2 linked regions of the Drosophila melanogaster genome follow. The protein of the gene in region 1 purifies or fractionates together with the protein of each later gene. This does not show direct contact. Each region holds a gene or a part of one and is shown in the gene's direction. Other genes may lie near its edges. The genes, in order: Rpn9 and Rpn3.

The links.
Region 2: the proteins of Rpn9 (region 1) and Rpn3 purify together in Drosophila melanogaster (affinity purification with mass spectrometry, with the first as the bait; one large-scale study listed by BioGRID). This does not show direct contact.

What each region holds. Positions count from the first base shown.
Region 1 is NT_033777.3:23,730,615-23,735,471, reverse strand, and holds Rpn9 (regulatory particle non-ATPase 9), read left to right. Parts: upstream 1-2,009; 5' UTR 2,010-2,220; intron 2,221-2,460; exon of another isoform or gene 2,461-2,561; 5' UTR 2,562-2,566; coding exon 2,567-2,676; intron 2,677-2,731; coding exon 2,732-2,845; intron 2,846-2,898; coding exon 2,899-3,429; intron 3,430-3,490; coding exon 3,491-3,884; 3' UTR 3,885-4,097; downstream 4,098-4,857. Other genes in the region: CG10365 (uncharacterized protein), read right to left, coding at 4,242-4,678, 4,745-4,823.
Region 2 is NT_033779.5:19,050,195-19,054,448, forward strand, and holds Rpn3 (regulatory particle non-ATPase 3), read left to right. Parts: upstream 1-1,595; 5' UTR 1,596-1,859; coding exon 1,860-2,023; intron 2,024-2,084; coding exon 2,085-3,405; 3' UTR 3,406-3,487; downstream 3,488-4,254. Other genes in the region: l(2)37Bb (lethal (2) 37Bb), read right to left, coding at 1-840, 903-1,304. UniProt on the Drosophila melanogaster protein: Acts as a regulatory subunit of the 26 proteasome which is involved in the ATP-dependent degradation of ubiquitinated proteins.

The sequences.
Region 1 (4,857 bases):
AGTCGCACGGCGGTGAGAGCAAGAGTTATGAAATCGCCGCCAATGGAATCCCAAGTTGAATTGGTATCAATGAATTCACAGTGTGGGTCAAGAAAATATGAGCAATATTTGCTTTAATAGTATAAAAAAAAATAACTAAAGGCTAGATTCTTTTCCGAAATTGTGGAAATATAGATACTTCATCATATTTAATCCATCATAGAATTAGCTACTAAAAACATAAAAGATTGTATTAAGTCATTAAATGGATCTTATTTGTGCACCTCTTGAATGACGCATGAATGAGCTGCCTTGCAGGGTGATCTATCTATTTAACTATTGACATTGACGAGAAGACTGCAGTTGCTATAATTTCGATCGCGGCTGCCTGCCCAAGAGCTTGGCACAAAAATCGAATATGAACATGCGAGAAACCAAGCCGAACCCAACTCTTTCGCAACTCGGGGCAACTGGATTGGCCTGTAATTGAATAATATTACTACTTGGCTGCAGCAGCAACAAAAAGTGAGCAACAAAATACAAAAAAAAAAAAAAAAAACAAGGAAGCGGCAATGCACTTGACAAAGCTGCTTCACTTGTTGCAGCAGTTTTATGGTTTATGTTTTTTCTACATCTTTTTCTTTTGCTTTTGTTTGGTTTTTGTGGCCACTGCATCGGCGGCGACTGTGTGGCATTTTTCACTTTTGCTTTTAATAGCCAGATGCTGTTGCTGTCTGTCGTCTGGGACGGAGATGAAGATGAAGTCGTCATCCGACGGCGTTTTTTTTTTCGGAATTTGTTTTGGATTTTTGAAATTGCCGCTCTTCACATAACCGTAATACGCCTTCAGCCGGTTTTCATATATACCATACATATCCATATATATATATATTATAGTTGTGCATCGTTTCTGTCGCTGCCAGATGTCGCCCATTTCGATTTTGGTAAATTGGTAAAGTGGGGAACAGGCCAAGGAAATCAACTGCTACATCGAGAAAGTAGTAGTACTTTCTTTCTACCAAAAACGCACAGTGGCGTCAGGAAATGAAAAGAAATGTTGACAGCGCAGCAGGATGTTACAGTAAACTCTGGCCGATTTGGTTCAAGTGTTTTTTTTACTGCGAAGGACGCACAAAATAGGCGACATCTGTGCAATATTACTCAAAAAGAAGGCATTTACATACTGTAAAATGCAGTACAATTCGGTTGATATATTTCGTTTATGTACAAATCCATACAAATGTTGAATCTTCCAATTCAATAGCTTTTTGAGTTCCAAATTCTCTATCAGCTCGAAAGTAATTTAATTATCGTTTCTTTACCCAACGCTCCTGTGCTCAAGTGGCTTTTGCTTTTCAAAGAGAAAGTTGTCCAACACCCATTGCAAGCCAAGAACTTTTAATAGACGGCGGCGACGTGGTGCCCACTGAGTGATAAGATTGGGGAGCCCCAATTGCATAACTGTCTACTAACCAAATAGTGGGATACAATGTACAACCAATTATGCAGTTCTCAATGGAACGCGATCGTATCCAATGGGAACCGCTGGCCCAATCAGTAGGGCCATGCTGCTTGGAATTTCGAAGCCAAAAGGGGGAACCTCGTCGGGCAGAGTAGTGACCCCCAAAAAGTCGAAAATAGAACCCAGAACTAACCTTGCTTTTCGACGAGGAATCGATCGTTTGCTTGGAGATCGGTGACAAATAGTTGACACGCGCCTTAATCCACAAAAGAAATGCTAATGAGGATCTCTTTTGGCGGAGTGCGGTTTCCAGTTGGAGCGGTCGTTGTGGTCGCTAACTAGTTCTTCTCAGTTTGTCAACTTTCTGCGAACAAATCCACATAGTTTCTTGCACGACGCGTTGTTTGGCTTACATTTATATAACCACTAATTGCGGCACTTTCGTTCGCGAAATTCGATTGCTACTTTATTTGGCTAACAAATAGTTAAATGTGCAAAACACACGACAGCTTTACTTTTTTTTAGTTAGTTCAGGGCGCACACTCGAGTTGTTGTATTTGGTTTTGTTGGCAGTGCTGCTGTGGCCCGGTTAAATATCGATATTCTCGCGGATCGGGCTAACTGGCTAATTGGCTGCGCGGCGACTCTCTGCCAAGTGGAATCCTGGAGTGCGGAAATATAAACTGTTTCGCTGCGAGCTCCAAAACGAATTGAAACGTTGTTTCTTCCGCGTACACAACTTCACGCAGAAACAGCTGTTCGGTTAGTGTGACCAGACGGTGAGTACAACGTAAGCCCAAGCCCCGCAGCTGTTGTTATCGAATGAGTCATCGAGTAGTTTCTAGGCACTGAAATAATATCATAAATAATGCTTTCCATGTGATATAAAAATAAAAAATACAGCCATTTGTTATTATGTAAGCCTTTTTTAGTTCATAAATAAATTTTACATAAAAATTCGCCCAAAAATACAAAATACCAAAATAAGCTAAAAAAAAACAAACGGCCACACAAGCGATCTGTCAATGTGACAGCTGCGTCGGCGATTGTGATTTGCAATTTTTGTAGTTTGGGAATACATTAAACATTACATTTGAAATTAATTCAACACAAAGCGCAGTTGCGATGTCCAATCCTCAGCCTAATGTCACCGCCTATCTGGCGACCCAGAAGAAGACCACCAACAAAGAACTCGCCGCCGAATGGACGCTCATCGAGGAGCTCTACAATGAAAAGTTAGATCTGGGCTTTAAATTTCAATTTTCCTCTTGTAATACAATTATTTTACAGACTCTGGAATGAGCTGACCATCAAACTGGTGACCTTTGTGCGCCACGAATCCTTGCAGGACGAAACTGCGCTGCTGCAGCTCTACCAGAATTTCCTGTCCACCTTCGAGACCAAGTGAGTCGGCTTCTGCAAATGACTCGGCAGAATCTAATGTATTGTATTTGCAGAATAAACCCCTATGGCCTCATCCAGATTCTCGAGGTGGTGGTTGACAACATCGGTGACAAGAAGGAGGCCATCGAGTTCTTGGAGAAGATGAAGGACAAGGTGAAGATCTGCGACGAGGCCGTTTGGTATCTGCAGGTGATGCAGGGTAATCTGTACCTCAGCAACCTGAACGATCTGAATGCCACCAAGAAGATCATCGAGGAACTGCGTGATGTCCTAGAGGAAGCGGGTAATGTGACGCCCGTTCACGGCAAATACTACATGCTGGCATCCCAGTATTATCGGCGAGTGGGCAAGCACAGCGATTACTACCGATGTGGCCTACAGTTTCTGGGCTGCTCCATGGATGAGTACCCCCGTGATCAATGGGCCCAGCAGGCATTCTTCTTGGGTCTGGCTGCTCTCTTGGGCGATGGTGTCTACAACATAGGCGAATTGCTGGCTCATCCCATTCTTGAGTCGCTTAAGGGCACGGAAAATGAGTGGCTCATGGAACTTCTTAAAGCCTTCAACACGGGCGATATTAACAAGTGTGTAGTAATAGCAATTTAATATCTGCAGTAACTAACACTTTCTATTATTCCTTTGCAGGTTTAATGACATGAAGAAAATCTGGTCCAAGATTCCCGATTTGGCTGCCCAGGAGGTCAAGTTGCGCCAGAAGATCTCCCTCCTTTGCCTCATGGAGATGACCTTCAAGCGCTCAGCCATCGAGCGAGCCATCTCCTTTACCGACATCGCGCAAGAGACCAAACTGCCCGCCAAGGAAGTGGAACTGCTTATCATGAAGGCTCTGGCTTTGGATCTCGTCCGCGGCGAGATTGACCAAGTGGCTGGAGTGGTTAACATGTCGTGGGTGCAACCACGCGTCCTCAACCGCAGCCAGATTGTCGGCATGGCCAGCACTCTGGACACATGGATGGGCGCCATCACGAACATGGAGAAACTGATGGAGAATCGTGCCGCCGAAATCCTCACCAATTAGTTTTAGTTTCGCCTGATCTAGACGATCCCACATATTCACATTTTGCGCGAATGCTTTTGTATTTAATTAAAAACCCAAATACTGTATTCATTTCTTTTCATATGTAATTTAACTCCCTGACAGTTGCGTGTAAAAAGTTTTTTTGTGCTTAATCCTAGCTTATTGGCTAAATCAGATCACTTATGGAGGAGTTGCTGCTTATGATTAGGCCTAGGATTATTTACAATTTAAAGAAATACGTCAAATTTGGCAATAGACTCTGGTTACCTAACAAGCTAAAATGTCGATCAATAATTTGGAATTTGCTGTAGCAAAAAACGCGACCTGCATAGCACTTGGCCGCCAGCACACCAGAAATCAAATGTTCAGGCAACGCAGCTTGGTGTCGGGCACACGGGAGGTGAACTCGAAGGATGGCGGGCGGCGGATGTCCTCGTGCGAGTCGCGGCGTATCCTATCTGGATTGCGGCCCATCACAGATGACAGAGGTATTTGGCGGCGGTACAGTTCCTCTAAAACCAATTGCTCCAGCTCGAACAGATGATCGTCCCTCACGCCGGGAATCTCCTCGTGCATGAACAGGGCCAGGCGCAACAGGTACTCGGCATTGTGTCCGCTGGGACCGCGGCAGGATACGATCTGCTGGGCAATCTCCTCGACCGGGTCATCGCCCAACCAATAGATATTCTCTGGCGTCGCCACATAGACCAGTACCTCGACCGCCTCGCCGCTGAAGGGCGTGTCCTGCGAGGCGACGCGCGGGAAGAACTTGGTATCGATTGTTGCATAGCCACCTGTTGGAGTCATCGTGGGTTAGCTCAAATGATGGTCCCCACTTCTCTTCAATTCGATTTACTTACCCAGTGTGCACTCCCGCTGCTTGAGATAATCCAGTGCCGTGCTGCCTGTTATTCTGTAGGCGCAGCCCCAAGTGATTCCCTGCAATCAAAAATGGGAAATGTATATTTAATAA
Region 2 (4,254 bases), on another chromosome or scaffold:
GATGTGCTGGGCGAAATATTGCGGATCAATCATCGCGCTATTATACTCTTCCGTCGAATCTTGCACGCAAATATAGTTGCCGCCCAGGCCATCTCTGCGAATAAAGATGCCCGACGGATCTATTGTCATGGGCATATTCATTCCGGGTGCACTTTGGGCCTGCGAGTTGATGGCGTACATGTATCGCTTGCGTGCGTTGATGGGCAGCGGAACCCGAAGTATTCCTGGACCCACGCCTATCCTTGCTAATCGCGCGATTTGTTCGGAACTAGCACCGGCGCTTATTACACACAGGGCGAACTTGCAAGTGCGTCGCGTACCATCGGGCAGTTGGATGACCGCTTTTTCCAAGCCCGTGTAGGCACCCTCGTTGGAACCAAGATCTGTGACAACAGAAATGTCCGTTTGGGATTTGAACTCGAAGTCGACCACCTGGCCACTGATAAAATGGGCGCCGTAGCCACTGGCTGACCGTCGGAAATTGCTCAGAAGTGCCAACGGATTAAACCAGCCCTCTTTTTCCAGACCAAGACAGCCCAAAGCGATGCCCTTGGTGTTTAGCCAGGGGAATCTGGCAGTCAGTCGATCTGCAGTGAGAAGTTCATTTCGGGCACCCAGTTCGTTTTGTAGCTGAGAGGAGCGCTTCAGGCTTTCCGCGTGCTCCTCGCCAGCGAGCATCAGATGGCCATGGGGCGTAAACTGGAGAGGCACTTCCTCGCCAAAGTGTTTTCTTGCGCTTCGCAGGAAGTCTGCGGCAAATAGTGACATTTGGATGTTTTCGGGCAGGGAGAATTGCTGACAAAGACCGCCCACCGAAACACGCGTGGCTGACTGGGCATACTAGAAATATGTGGAAGGCAAATTAAATATTCGGGGTAGACTGGTACACATCATTTTACTACCGTGTCATCCTTCTCGACCACCACAACGTTAAGACCGTCGCGGGCCTTCTCCTTCAGCCAATAGGCGATGGAGCTGCCCACTCCACCGCCGCCAATGATGAGCACATCGCAATGGGTCTGGAAGTCATCCGGCACAGTGGCTTCCTTGCTCTTGTCGCGCTCCCCTGAAAAGTGAAACTGGCTCTGTGTCGGAATGGGAACTTTCTCGGTCTCCGGTTCCTTTGGTACAAAGAACTCCTTAACTTTGCGCATATCGTTCCCGAGCAAACGGAGTGTTCGTCGTATGGGGTGCAGGTCTTCGCCGGATTTGTCGCCCCCGGAAGATCCACTTCCATTGCTCGTTGCTCCGGCCGAGAAATTACGGCGCTGAAGGAGACCCACCACTTGTCTGTACCGCAACATTTTATTCTCTTTAATTTTAATTTAATTCATATTCCGTATTAATTTTTTATTTTGTGTTATTTTGTAATAGTAATAACGTGCGATGTTATCGGAGTATCGATATCGAAAAGGCTTAACGGAATTGTGGTAATGTTTTATTGCAATTTAAATAAAAATACGCTTTTACTGAGTGCGTAACTTAAGAAAAGGCTTAACGGAATTGTGGTAATGTTTTATTGCAATTTAAATAAAAATACGCTTTTACTGAGTGCGTAACTTAAGAAATTCCTAACCCAAATTAAAGCAATAGATACATTTACTGTAAAACATTAAAAATAAATTCCTATAACATATGAGACTGAAAGTTCGCTCAGTGTACCGTAAAACGTATCGATAAATTGAAACGTAACGGCTTAACAGCTCTGTTAACCAACTAAATTTACCAGCACTGCCTGTAGCCGAAAACGAATAAGAAGAAGAAGCGACATTACTAGGCATTTTTGATTGGGATTGAGAAAAACAAAAGAAAAGTCGGCTATATTTGTGACCCCAGTAAATTGAGAGTTCCATTACAAAATGACCAACGCAACGGACATCGGTGCTAACGACGTGGAGATGGAGGTGGATCCAACGGCGGAGACGCTGGCTGACGAGAAGAAGAACCAAGATGTGGCCGCCGTGCAGGAGATCCGCGAGCAGATTCGTCAGATTGAGAAGGGGGTAGCCTCGAAAGAGTCGCGGTGAGTAGTGCAAGAATTAAAATCTTGTCCCTTCCTTATTATGGCTCATTTCCGCCAACAGCTTCATCCTGCGCGTCCTTCGCAATTTGCCCAACACTCGTCGCAAGCTGAACGGCGTCGTCTTCCGGAATCTTGCACAGAGTATTTACCCCGCTGGTGCAGATCGTGAGGCGGCCGTGGCTTTGATGCCCGCTGTGGAGAAAGACGCCACCGAGCTGCCCGATGTTCCCAAAAAACAAGTTGCCACCAAGGCTCCAATCGCCGAGGTCGATGCCTACTTCTACCTGCTCCTGCTGGTCAAGCTCATCGACGCCAGTGATTTAAAGCGGGCCGGAATTAGCGCCGACGCCCTAATGGCCAAAATCTCCATCCAAAACCGACGCACCCTTGATCTGATTGGTGCCAAGTCCTACTTCTATTTTTCAAGAGTGGCGGAGCTAAAAAACTCACTGGAAGGCATACGCTCGTTCCTGCACGCTCGTCTGCGCACCGCTACGCTGCGTAATGATTTTGAAGGCCAGGCGGTGCTTATTAACTGTTTGCTCCGCAACTACTTGCACTATGCTTTGTACGACCAAGCCGACAAGCTGGTAAAGAAATCCGTCTACCCGGAATCGGCCAGCAACAATGAATGGGCGCGTTTCCTGTACTATCTAGGTCGGATTAAGGCCGCTAAGCTGGAGTACAGCGATGCCCACAAGCATCTGGTCCAGGCCCTGCGTAAGTCGCCGCAGCACGCTGCCATCGGCTTTCGTCAGACGGTTCAAAAGCTAATTATCGTTGTGGAGCTGCTTTTGGGCAACATCCCGGAGCGTGTGGTGTTCCGGCAAGCCGGTCTTCGCCAATCTCTTGGTGCCTACTTCCAGCTCACGCAGGCCGTGCGTCTGGGCAACTTGAAGCGCTTCGGCGACGTGGTATCCCAATACGGACCCAAGTTCCAACTGGACCACACATTCACCCTGATTATCCGGCTGCGCCACAATGTGATCAAGACGGCAATCCGCTCCATCGGACTATCGTACTCACGCATCTCGCCGCAAGACATTGCCAAGCGGCTAATGCTAGACTCCGCGGAGGATGCCGAGTTTATTGTATCGAAGGCTATACGGGACGGCGTGATTGAGGCTACGTTGGACCCAGCCCAGAATTTCATGCGCAGCAAGGAAAGTACGGACATCTACAGCACCCGGGAACCGCAGCTGGCCTTTCACGAGCGCATCTCGTTCTGCCTGAACCTGCACAACCAGAGCGTTAAGGCCATGCGCTATCCCCCAAAGTCCTACGGCAAGGATTTGGAGAGCGCCGAGGAGAGACGCGAGCGGGAGCAGCAGGACCTTGAGCTGGCCAAGGAGATGGCCGAGGATGATGAGGATGGTTTCTAAGCGGCTGATTCTGCAAATTAATTTGTGCTTGCATTCATTTTTATAGAAATATAATCCGCAATTAAATAAGTTACAATAATTTCGGAACTTTTTTAATTAGGTATTGGAAATCAAAAATAGTTCAGAACTGATCTTTCTTTTTATTCAAGCAAAAAGTTGTATGTTGTTGTTGGTAGACAATCAAAAATTTCAATTCGGTTAGAAATGGAAAAACATTTTAAAAATGTCACTCTTCTGGCAGCCTTGGCGCGTTAATTTAAAACGAAGTCTGGCAACATAGATTCATATTCTTCTTTAGATCTTTTCCCTCCAAAGCTATTTTATTAAAGATCCCTTAAGTACATTGGCAGGACTTTTCTCTGATTGATAGAGGTAATTTATGATATGTAAATTATAGATGGAAAAGATGCAAATATTATTTCAATTACTTTAAACACGACCTTCCACAAAAAGCACACTTTTTCTGACGAAGGTTTTGGTCGGCAGTATTAACGGTCACACTGGCGCAAACAACACAAACAGCAGCCACGGTCACACAAATCAAAGTGGAAAAAATTTTTAGACAAAAAGGTGCACACAATGCAAATTAATTAAAGGCCGTGCGTATTAAATGCCCTAATACGCGATCCTACGTACTGTATTTTGCTGCCGAAAAGTGCAACGCGCGCCTATCGGGGAGTTTCGCGGAAATTGCTGGGTTTTTTGTGACAGCGGCGAGTAGTCTCCTCCGAATAACAGCGGCCGAACAGCGAGCGTTTTGCGAAGCAGCGAGTGCCTGGCCAATGTGGTGCAGCCCCCCGCCACCCGCCGCCCGCGCACCCCCTACCCCGCTAACGCGCAAAATATACG